Linked DNA regions of Mus musculus. The protein of the gene in region 1 purifies or fractionates together with the protein of each later gene. This does not show direct contact. Links are inferred from orthologs where the notes say so. Each region holds a gene or a part of one and is shown on either strand. Other genes may lie near its edges. The genes, in order: Nckipsd and Gemin2.

Region 1 (4,525 bases):
TACTTTGTGCCTGAAAGCTTCTGTAAGTGTGTGTGTGTGTGTGTGTGTGTGTGTGTGTGTGTGTGTGTGTGCACTGCCAAAAATTGGCAGAAACATTTGATAAAGCCAGGGTCTGGATATCAAGTTCTTGTCTTGGCTGAGCCTTCTGGCAGCTCCCCACATCCCACTGGGCCTACCTCCACCATGCCTAAAAATAGATTAGCGAAGTCTAGGTGTAGTCTGGCTCATCTAAGTACTCAGGCAGAGGGAGTTGGATTGCTGTTAGTTTCAGGCCAGTTGGTGCTGCTAGTGTGACCTTGTCTTTAGGGGGAAAAAGCCAGGTGTGGTGGCACCTGCCCTAAGTCCCAGCATTTGGGAGGCAAAGGCAGATGGATCATTGGATTTAAGGCCAGCCTGGTCTACATGGTTCCAGAACAGCCAAAACTACACAGTGAGACCTTGCCTTGGAACATTGTCTGATGGTGTGTATATCCTGTGCTCCTTAGATTAGTGGAGAGTATGCAAGGATCCTTTAGGCCTTCTTCACTACGACCGAGGGATGCCAAGGATTTCAAAGATGTGGATGGCTAGGCTGAATATTAAACTGAAGGTCAGGGATGCTTTTTCTTTCTTTGAGACGGATTCTTACTATGAAGCCCAGGCTGGTCTTGATCTTGGCTTTCTACAGCTCTGCCTCCTGGATGCTGGGATCATGCCACCATTCAGAACTCAAAACATGCTTTTTAAACCTCATGTGTTCAGTCCCTACCCTATCAGCCTTCTGCCCTAACCATTTTTTTTCCCCAGTGCCATTTGTGATGTTGGGGCAGGACAGGGTTGGTAACAGACAGCCTTTTAAAACAGGAGATGCATGTATACACGCAGTTTGATTCGTTATGAGTAAATATGACCTTAGGTCATAGACTTAAATCCTTTTGTAACAACAAAAATGGCAAAAGGATAGTCATTGACAAGTTGGGGCGTGGTCCAGAAGGGAGTGTTCAAATAGAACAGATGCAAGACTCAAGATAGGAAAGAAGCCAGTATATATGAAGGGAGTGTATATGTGGTGGGTAGCAAAGATGCATTCTGGACAGTACAACCTGGTTTTGTCCCTTGCCCTCCACACTTGTCCACCACCTCAGCGACAGAGTAGGGACTTTGTACTAAGGCACTGTGAGGCCTAGATGCGCTGGGGAGACCCCTCCCCAGAAAGAACTTCCAAATGTCTGATCAGGATTCCTCAAAGCAAAACACCATATCCCCGTCCCCAGGGACGCACTGGCTATAAGCATCCTTCATCAGGAGGTGGGAAGGAACGCAGCGCTTGCACCTGAGCTGGGAAAGGAGGAGGAAAGCCAGGGAGAGGGAGTTAGGACCCTAAGTCAGCTGACTGGAGTCTGAGGCCTGAAGGAACTGGAGACTCCCACCCCGCCCCGCCAAACCTCTCTCGGCCGCGAGGGGGCGCGGCGCTCCAATACTGGAGCCGACTCGCTCCTGGGGCGGGGTTCCGGCGGTCGCGCATGCGCACGCGCGGCGTGTCACGGGGCGGGGCGGGGCAAGCGCCGGGCGGCGCGGCACTCAGGGCCTGGCTTCCCGGCACCGCAACCTTCGTCGCGTACCCAGCCCCGGCGCTTCGCGGCCCGGCCCGGCCCGGCCTCATGTACCGCGCGCTGTATGCGTTCCGCTCCGCGGAGCCGAACGCCATGGCGTTCGCTGCAGGCGAGACCTTCCTGGTGCTGGAGCGCAGCAGCACGCACTGGTGGTTAGCAGCACGGGCGCGCAGTGGCGAGACCGGGTACGTGCCGCCTGCCTACCTGCATCGCCTGCAGGTGAGTGTGTCCCTCCGTCCCAGGCCTCTCGACCGAACCCCTTCACCAGCACGCAGAACCGATCCAGGAAGCTCAGTCAGATTCTTCGGGACTTCTACCAGACAAGGAGGTTGAGACTCTGACCTTAAGTCCCAAGAGCCGTAAGGACTGAGACCCCTCCGGAAGGGCCGTCAACACCCACCCGAGACTAGGCCTTTGACATTTAACCGCAGGCCCGTGAAAAGCTTAATTCTGGAACAGGGACTCTCTGTCATCGATAATCAGAGCCTCCATCTGCATTGAATTCTCGAGCTGGATCCAGAGACTTCCAGTCCATTCATTATCCAAGTCCCTTAGACCTCCAAACCCTATTCGTTCCCCTTTCCTGAATCCCTAGGATGCCCATCTCCCATCAATCTGTAGCCTCCACCTTTAACTGTAAAGATCACCGTGCCCACCACTGACTGTGCCACCTCATACACCACCTGTTTCCTCAACCACCCTCCAGGTTCTTAGTCCCCACCCCACCCACACACTTGGACCCCAGAGCCACAGGCATTCCTGTCCCTTATGCGAGTCCCAATTCCTGTAGTATCTCTGTATCCCGAACCCGCCCACCTATCAAGCTCTCCCCAAGGACAATTCCCCAACCCTTCAGGAACCAAGGCCCCTGGCCCCTGCTGATAGACAAGGTTCCCTGGCACAGCCCCCACTTCTCCCAAGCCTCCACTCCTGACTTCTCTGGTTTCCTTCCTCTGAAATCTGGGCGCTCCATCCTGGAATGGGAGCTGTCCACACTGTGAGGAAGTGAGCCTCCTTCATGGTTTCCCGTTCTGAAGATGGCCTGGTCCCCTTCCAGTGGAGCCTGCTCCAGTTCCTGTTTGCTCAAGAGTAGTCCTGCTGCAGTGTCTCCAGCTAGCCTATTCTGACTGCAGGAGGAAGGGGACCCAGGGCAGTCTGGGCTATTCCAGACTCATAGTCCCTAGCTATGGAAACATCCTGTCCCAGCCCAGTTAAGGACAGAAATACTGTGATAAATTTGGAAATGTCATCTGGTCTTGCTAAAGACGAGGGACCCTTGGTTCTAGGGTCCTCCTCACAGACTCTCAGTCTCCTCTAGAGGTGTTCAGGTGAGAAAAATCTAAACTGTGTCACACCCAGCTCAGCTTTTTGAGCACCCAGGTCTCTTTGGAGACTTTGAGGAAGCCCTGCCTCTTTGTCAGGCCCTGTGGAGCCTCTGCTCTAGCCAGGGTCAGTGGGGCTGGAGGGTTTGGGAAGGAAAGATCTTTCTCGGATCACTTCCTGTTTCTTTCGTCATACCCCTAGTCTCAGTTCCCCCGACTGCGAATTTCTGTCTCATTTTTACTCCACCTGGTGTTTGCCCTTCTTTTTCAAAACTTTCCCTTTCTGTCGCTGTTGCTGTCTCTCCCTGCCCCGCCCACACACCTTCTGCCATCTGAAGGACTTTGCTGACCCCTATATTTATTTGGCCCTATCCAGGGAAGCCTCTTAAACTCACTCCGGAACTAAACACGGTGACTTATGTGTACAGTCTGAGGCTTCGGGAAGAGTACCTTGAGCTCCAGGCCAGCCCTGGGCCACATAGCCACTTCCAAACCAGCTTGAGCTGCAGAGATTCTCATCTCAAAAGACCAGCCACCCAGCCAACTAAAACAAACGGGACTGTACCCTAATGTGTGCTTAGGTCTGTTCTGGGGTTCCTGTCCCGCAGCTGGCCAACCCCACCGCTGTAATCCACACCTCCCTCCATGCCAGACAGTGGGGTAGAACGGACTCCTGGGTTACTGAGGACGGCCACACAGGCAGGAATCAGGCCAGTCTCTCAAGTCCCTCCTTTGTCAGAAGCAGAGTGCCTTCCCAAAGGTGGTCTGAAAAAGTGGCGGGACAGCTTGGGAGGGTGGAAGGAAGGGAGGTCCTTTTGACCCGTTTTTACCTCCCAGCGCTTGGGAAGGTCCCTGTGGGTGGGAAGGTCCCTGTGGGGACAGGGCTGTTTTGGAGTGTGACCTTGGCTTTGTGAAGGAGCAGCATCCAGAGTGACTGATTAGGGATCCCAGACATGAGAGTCTTCCCTTTTGGCATCTCATGCTGGGCTCTGAGCCAAGCCCAGGGAGAGACTAGGTTTGGACTCCTGGTCCCAATCTGGGATTCCTATGGTTTCTCTCTATAGGTTTTTAGAATTGTCTTTGCCGAGAGCCTGTGTATGCAAGCCCCTAAATGTAAACTATAAAATACCATCACAGAGTCCCAGGTAACACGATTTGACCACTTCATTCTGTATTCCATTTTGGCTGTCTTCTAGTGTCCAGAATTCTAGGCTAGTTCCAGATTGGGCTGGGTCTGGGCTGACCAATCCCACTTGGCACCCAGGTCTAACTACCCACCTACCTTTAGGGCATGGAACAAGATGTCCTCCAAGCTATTGACCGTGCCATTGAGGCTGTGCACAACACAGCCATGCGAGATGGCGGCAAGTACAGCCTGGAACAGCGTGGAGTCCTTCAGTGAGTATCTGGGAAGTGGAGGTAATACCTTCCCTTGAGCGTGTTGGTGGGGCCAGAGACACTGGAGGCAGTACTAGGGTTAGTGCGAGGTTCCACAGAGTGGGATGAATGATGGGAAAGATGGACGATGAGGAGCCTGTACTGTGAGGTCCCAGAATCCCGCAGGGGGTTTAAAAAAAGATTTATTTTAAAGTGTATATATGAGAGAAAGTG
Region 2 (4,238 bases), on another chromosome or scaffold:
GGCTGGTGCCGCCTCTGCCACGTCAAAGGGGAGGAGGCGGGGAGGGGCGACCAGCGAAGGGGCGGGAACAGTCCCGGAAGAGGCGGGGCGCGCAGGAGGTAATGGGCGCGTTGAGTGGCGGAAAAGATGAACCGGGAGTAATAAAGAGGGTGGGGCGAGCGTGAAAGACGGCCAAGCAAAGCGGAGGGCGGGGACAATTCAGGAAGGGGCGGGGCTAGCAGGAAGCGATGCGATAGCCAGGGCGGTGGAGGAAGGGAGGTAACCGGAGTAATAAAGGGTGGGATGTGGCCGCTCGAGGCCGTGTGTAGGATTAAGGTTAAAATACCTGACTAGGGCATTGCTAGCCCCAGAAAAAAAGAAAAAAAATGTTAACCACCAGATGTAGCTTTCACGTCTACTGTTTGCTTGAACGATTGTTTTTGTTTTCTAGTATATAGAAAAGGCTCTTGCAAGTTTTTTTCCTGACATTGTATCCGTGTCCAAAGAGGAGAAAGAACGAAGCACGAGTTAACAATTATTTGAAGTATTCGCTAGAAAATAGATGCTCGGATTCTCCTCTAATTTTGGGTTTTCGTCTGTGTGTTGTCAAGAGCCAATGAGAAGGCTTGGCTCAGGGACCTCACTTGCCTAGAACTCATAAGGCAGAAAAAGAAACTTTACTCCCAGAAGTTGTATTCTGACCTCCTCACCGACCCACAAGCAATCGCAAAATAGTAATTTTAAAGTTTTTAAGTATCTCACTCGGCTAGTGGTGATGGTTCATGCCTGTAATCTCAATAGTCAAGGTTAAAAAAAAAAAAAAAAAAAAAAAAAAAAAGGCAGCCCAGCTTACGTTACACTGCAAACTGTAGACCCTTCTAAGCCACAGAAGAGACAGTCTCAAAAACCTAAAAATTATCCTCGTGTGATACTTGGTACTCCAGAAGCTGAGGCCAGGGGATCGGATCACTACAAGTTTGAGACTCCTTGAGCTACCTAATGAGTTCCAGAACAGCCTCAACTAAACTTTAAGATGCTATCCGAAAAAGTGAAAAACAAAACAAAAAGTTCTGCATTCATCCACTCTGTTCCCCGCGAAGTCAGAAAGACACCACCCTAAGGGGTTGTAAGATTTAGACGAATGTAACGTGTTTACAAATGGTTAAAGGCTTTAGTACTCTAAAAATGACGATTATAGCGATATTGTTCATTAATTTTAAAAATATTAAAGATTTCAAAGTTCATCCTCAGTCCCTGCCGCCTACCCAAGCTTTAGACGAGAAAATGGGATTAGACAGAGCGACCTAGAAACTCTTCAGGAACCACTTCTGCCAGGAATTATTCTCGAGCGCTACATTCCACCACCGGTGCCATAAGCTTGATGCAACCAGCAGGTTTCTTGTGTGGCTCCGCCCCCTTGCGCCTGTAGCCGGTGGCCTCGGCGGAGGTCGCTTAGGCGCCTGCGCCGTGCCTACTCTGGGCGCCGATTGAGACTGGCGGGAGCGAGAACCATGGCGTGGGTTCCAGCCGAGTCTGCGGTGGAAGAGTTGATGCCACGGTTGTTACCTGTGGAGCCCTGTGACTTGACGGAAGGTTTCGATCCCTCGGTCCCCCCCAGGACGCCTCAGGAATATCTGAGGAGAGTGCAGTGAGTGATTTCGCCCCGTGCGAGTGGGCTGGTTGTCGTGCCCCTGTGTACAGCCCTGGTGCCGCGCCTGACCCTTGGTGTGCAACAGTCCCTCCTCTGTTTGCGTTCCTATCTTTCGGGAGGTCCGGGAAATTTAAGATCTTATTACACCCTACGGTTGGCAGATAACTTTTGAACTTGATTGCACGTTAAGACGTGTGTTCTTAAATTTCTTTGCTTTTCATCTAGGTGTCAGGCGTTTCGTTTTTTCATTGGGAGCTTGCACTTTTATTTCCCATTTCATAATAAAGTAAAACACATCTCTCTATTCTACAAAGCGAAATAATAAGTATCATGTATGTATTACTTAATTGTAGGATCGAAGCAGCCCAATGTCCAGATGTTGTGGTAGCCCAGATTGACCCAAAGAAGTTGAAAAGGAAGCAAAGTGTGAACATTTCTGTGAGTTTAACCAACCACCTGGGAATATTTTAACAACACACACATATACAACACGAACATTTTCCTATCATATCAAAAATATAAGTTATGGTGTGTATAAGATTAGATTGCTCCTTATAAAGTTAGGCACCACTTGGAAGCTAACACAGAGGCGTTTTGGTCTGGAGGCCAGCCTACATTGAGACCCTCTGGAAAATGTGTGTGTGTGTGTGTGTGTGTGTGTCATTTAAAAGATTACTTCCCCTACCCCCAAAAAGTACTTCAATTGTTTACTAATATTGACCTTTATAGCCGGGCGTGGTGGCGCACGCCTTTAATCCCAGCACTCGGGAGGCAGAGGCAGGCGGATTTCTGAGTTCGAGGCCAGCCTGGTCTACAAAATGAGTTCCAGGACAGCCAGGGCTACACAGAGAAACCCTGTCTCAAAACAAACAAACAAACAAACAAACAAAAGTACTTCAATTGTTTACTAATATTGACCTTTATAAATAATTAAGGATATTTTTTTCTGGATATACCTTTATAGTTATTTTTCAGGGTGGTGCATTGTACACTTTTTCAATTTGACCTGGTATCATTTTCTCAGTATAGAAACACAGCTGTCTTGGCAGCTTTCTGTCCATATTCTTTATTCATTTGCTTAGCCAGCACACTTTTTATTGAGCAGTTAGGTTGTGCTGGGCACTAAGAACACAACAGAGGATCATAAAGAAAAGGTCCCTAAAGACCAGGCCTGTTGGTAAGCACGCTTGTAATCCTAGCACTTGGAAGTAGAGACAAAAGGGTCAAGAAGTCCAGATCATTCTCAACTACATAGAAGATTCCAGGCTACCCTGGAATATATAAGACTCTCATCTCAGAAACAAAGGAGAAAACTTCCCTATGCTTGTACAGTATCGGTCTCCTGAAGGGCACAAAGAATAGCCAAATAATTACATCATCTGGTCATTGCATGAAGAAAATAAACAGCACTCAGTAGTCAAAACTATAGGGCTAGAGAGATGGCTCAGTGGAGTCCTTCCAGAGGATGCAGGTTCAATTCTGAGCAGATAGTGGCTCACAACCATCTCTAGCTCTAGTTCCAAGGGCTCTGATGCTCTCTTTACACCTTTTCAGGTACCACGCGTGGATATGATACATAGACATGCATGCAGACAAAACACTCATACACATAAAGTAAATAAAACTTTTTAGTTTAAAAAAAAAAATCTCAGCCATTTACGGTAGTACATGGTTTTAATACCAGCACAAATGAATCAGAGGCTAGCCCAGTCTACATAGTGATTTACAGAACATCCAAGACCACATAAGGAGACTCTATCAGGAAAAAAAAAAACAAAACAAAACTTGGGAGTAGGAGGGTGTTTCCTCAGGGAAGATTATATGAAACCTGAGGTCAGGTTTTTCCGTTTTTCAAGGTTTTTGACAATGTATGTTTGAAGTAATTCCTCTAATGTTTATAATTAGGACATTTTAATTCATGCACTATATATAACCTTACATGTTTTCACTAGACGCACACGAGTTCATGTGTACTTGGTCTTTTTTCCAATTTACCCCACTGAGTTCTGTTAGAAGGTGATACCTGATTATTTGGGGTTTTATAAAACATTTTTTTAGACTTGTTTCCGTTTTTGTTGTTTATTTTATGTATGAGTGCTCTGCTGCATGTAAACCTGCATGCCAGAAAAGGACATCAGACCCCATTACAGATGGTTGTGAGCCACTACATGGTTGCTGGGAATTGAACTCAGGACTCTGGAAGAGCAGCCAGTGCTCTTAATGGCTGAGCCATCTCTCCAGCTTGACACCTGATCATTTGTTAACTGTGTGCTATTTTGGAAAATAAAAGTAAGACTTGGCATGTTGAGTATTTAGCCACCTTGTTTGACAACTCTGGGGTTTCAATCATCACCATGCCAATCCCCACCTGTCTTAGTTAAGGTTTTACTGCTGTGAACAGACACCATGACCAAGACAAGTCTTATAAAAACAACATTTAATTGGGGCTGGCTTACAGGTTCAGAGATTCAGTCCATTATCATCAAGGTGGGAGCATGGCAGTATCCAGGCAGGCTTGGCACAGGAGGAACTGAGAGTTCTACATCTTCATCCAAAGGCTGCTAGTGGAAGACTGACTCCCAGGCAACTAGGGTGAGGATCTTATACC

What was found.
Region 2: the proteins of Nckipsd (region 1) and Gemin2 purify together in Homo sapiens (co-immunoprecipitation; 3 studies listed by BioGRID and IntAct, counting the BioPlex papers as one, with this or other methods). This does not show direct contact. The link is inferred for Mus musculus from reciprocal best matches to the Homo sapiens genes NCKIPSD and GEMIN2.

Annotation. Positions count from the first base shown.
Region 1 is NC_000075.6:108,806,844-108,811,368, forward strand, and holds the start of Nckipsd (NCK-interacting protein with SH3 domain), read left to right. Parts: upstream 1-1,536; 5' UTR 1,537-1,640; coding exon 1,641-1,811; intron 1,812-3,978; exon of another isoform or gene 3,979-4,059; intron 4,060-4,202; coding exon 4,203-4,312; intron 4,313-4,525. UniProt on the Homo sapiens protein: Has an important role in stress fiber formation induced by active diaphanous protein homolog 1 (DRF1). Induces microspike formation, in vivo. In vitro, stimulates N-WASP-induced ARP2/3 complex activation in the absence of CDC42.
Region 2 is NC_000078.6:59,011,987-59,016,224, forward strand, and holds the start of Gemin2 (gem-associated protein 2), read left to right. Parts: upstream 1-1,404; 5' UTR 1,405-1,490; coding exon 1,491-1,627; intron 1,628-1,983; coding exon 1,984-2,068; intron 2,069-4,238. UniProt on the Homo sapiens protein: The SMN complex catalyzes the assembly of small nuclear ribonucleoproteins (snRNPs), the building blocks of the spliceosome, and thereby plays an important role in the splicing of cellular pre-mRNAs.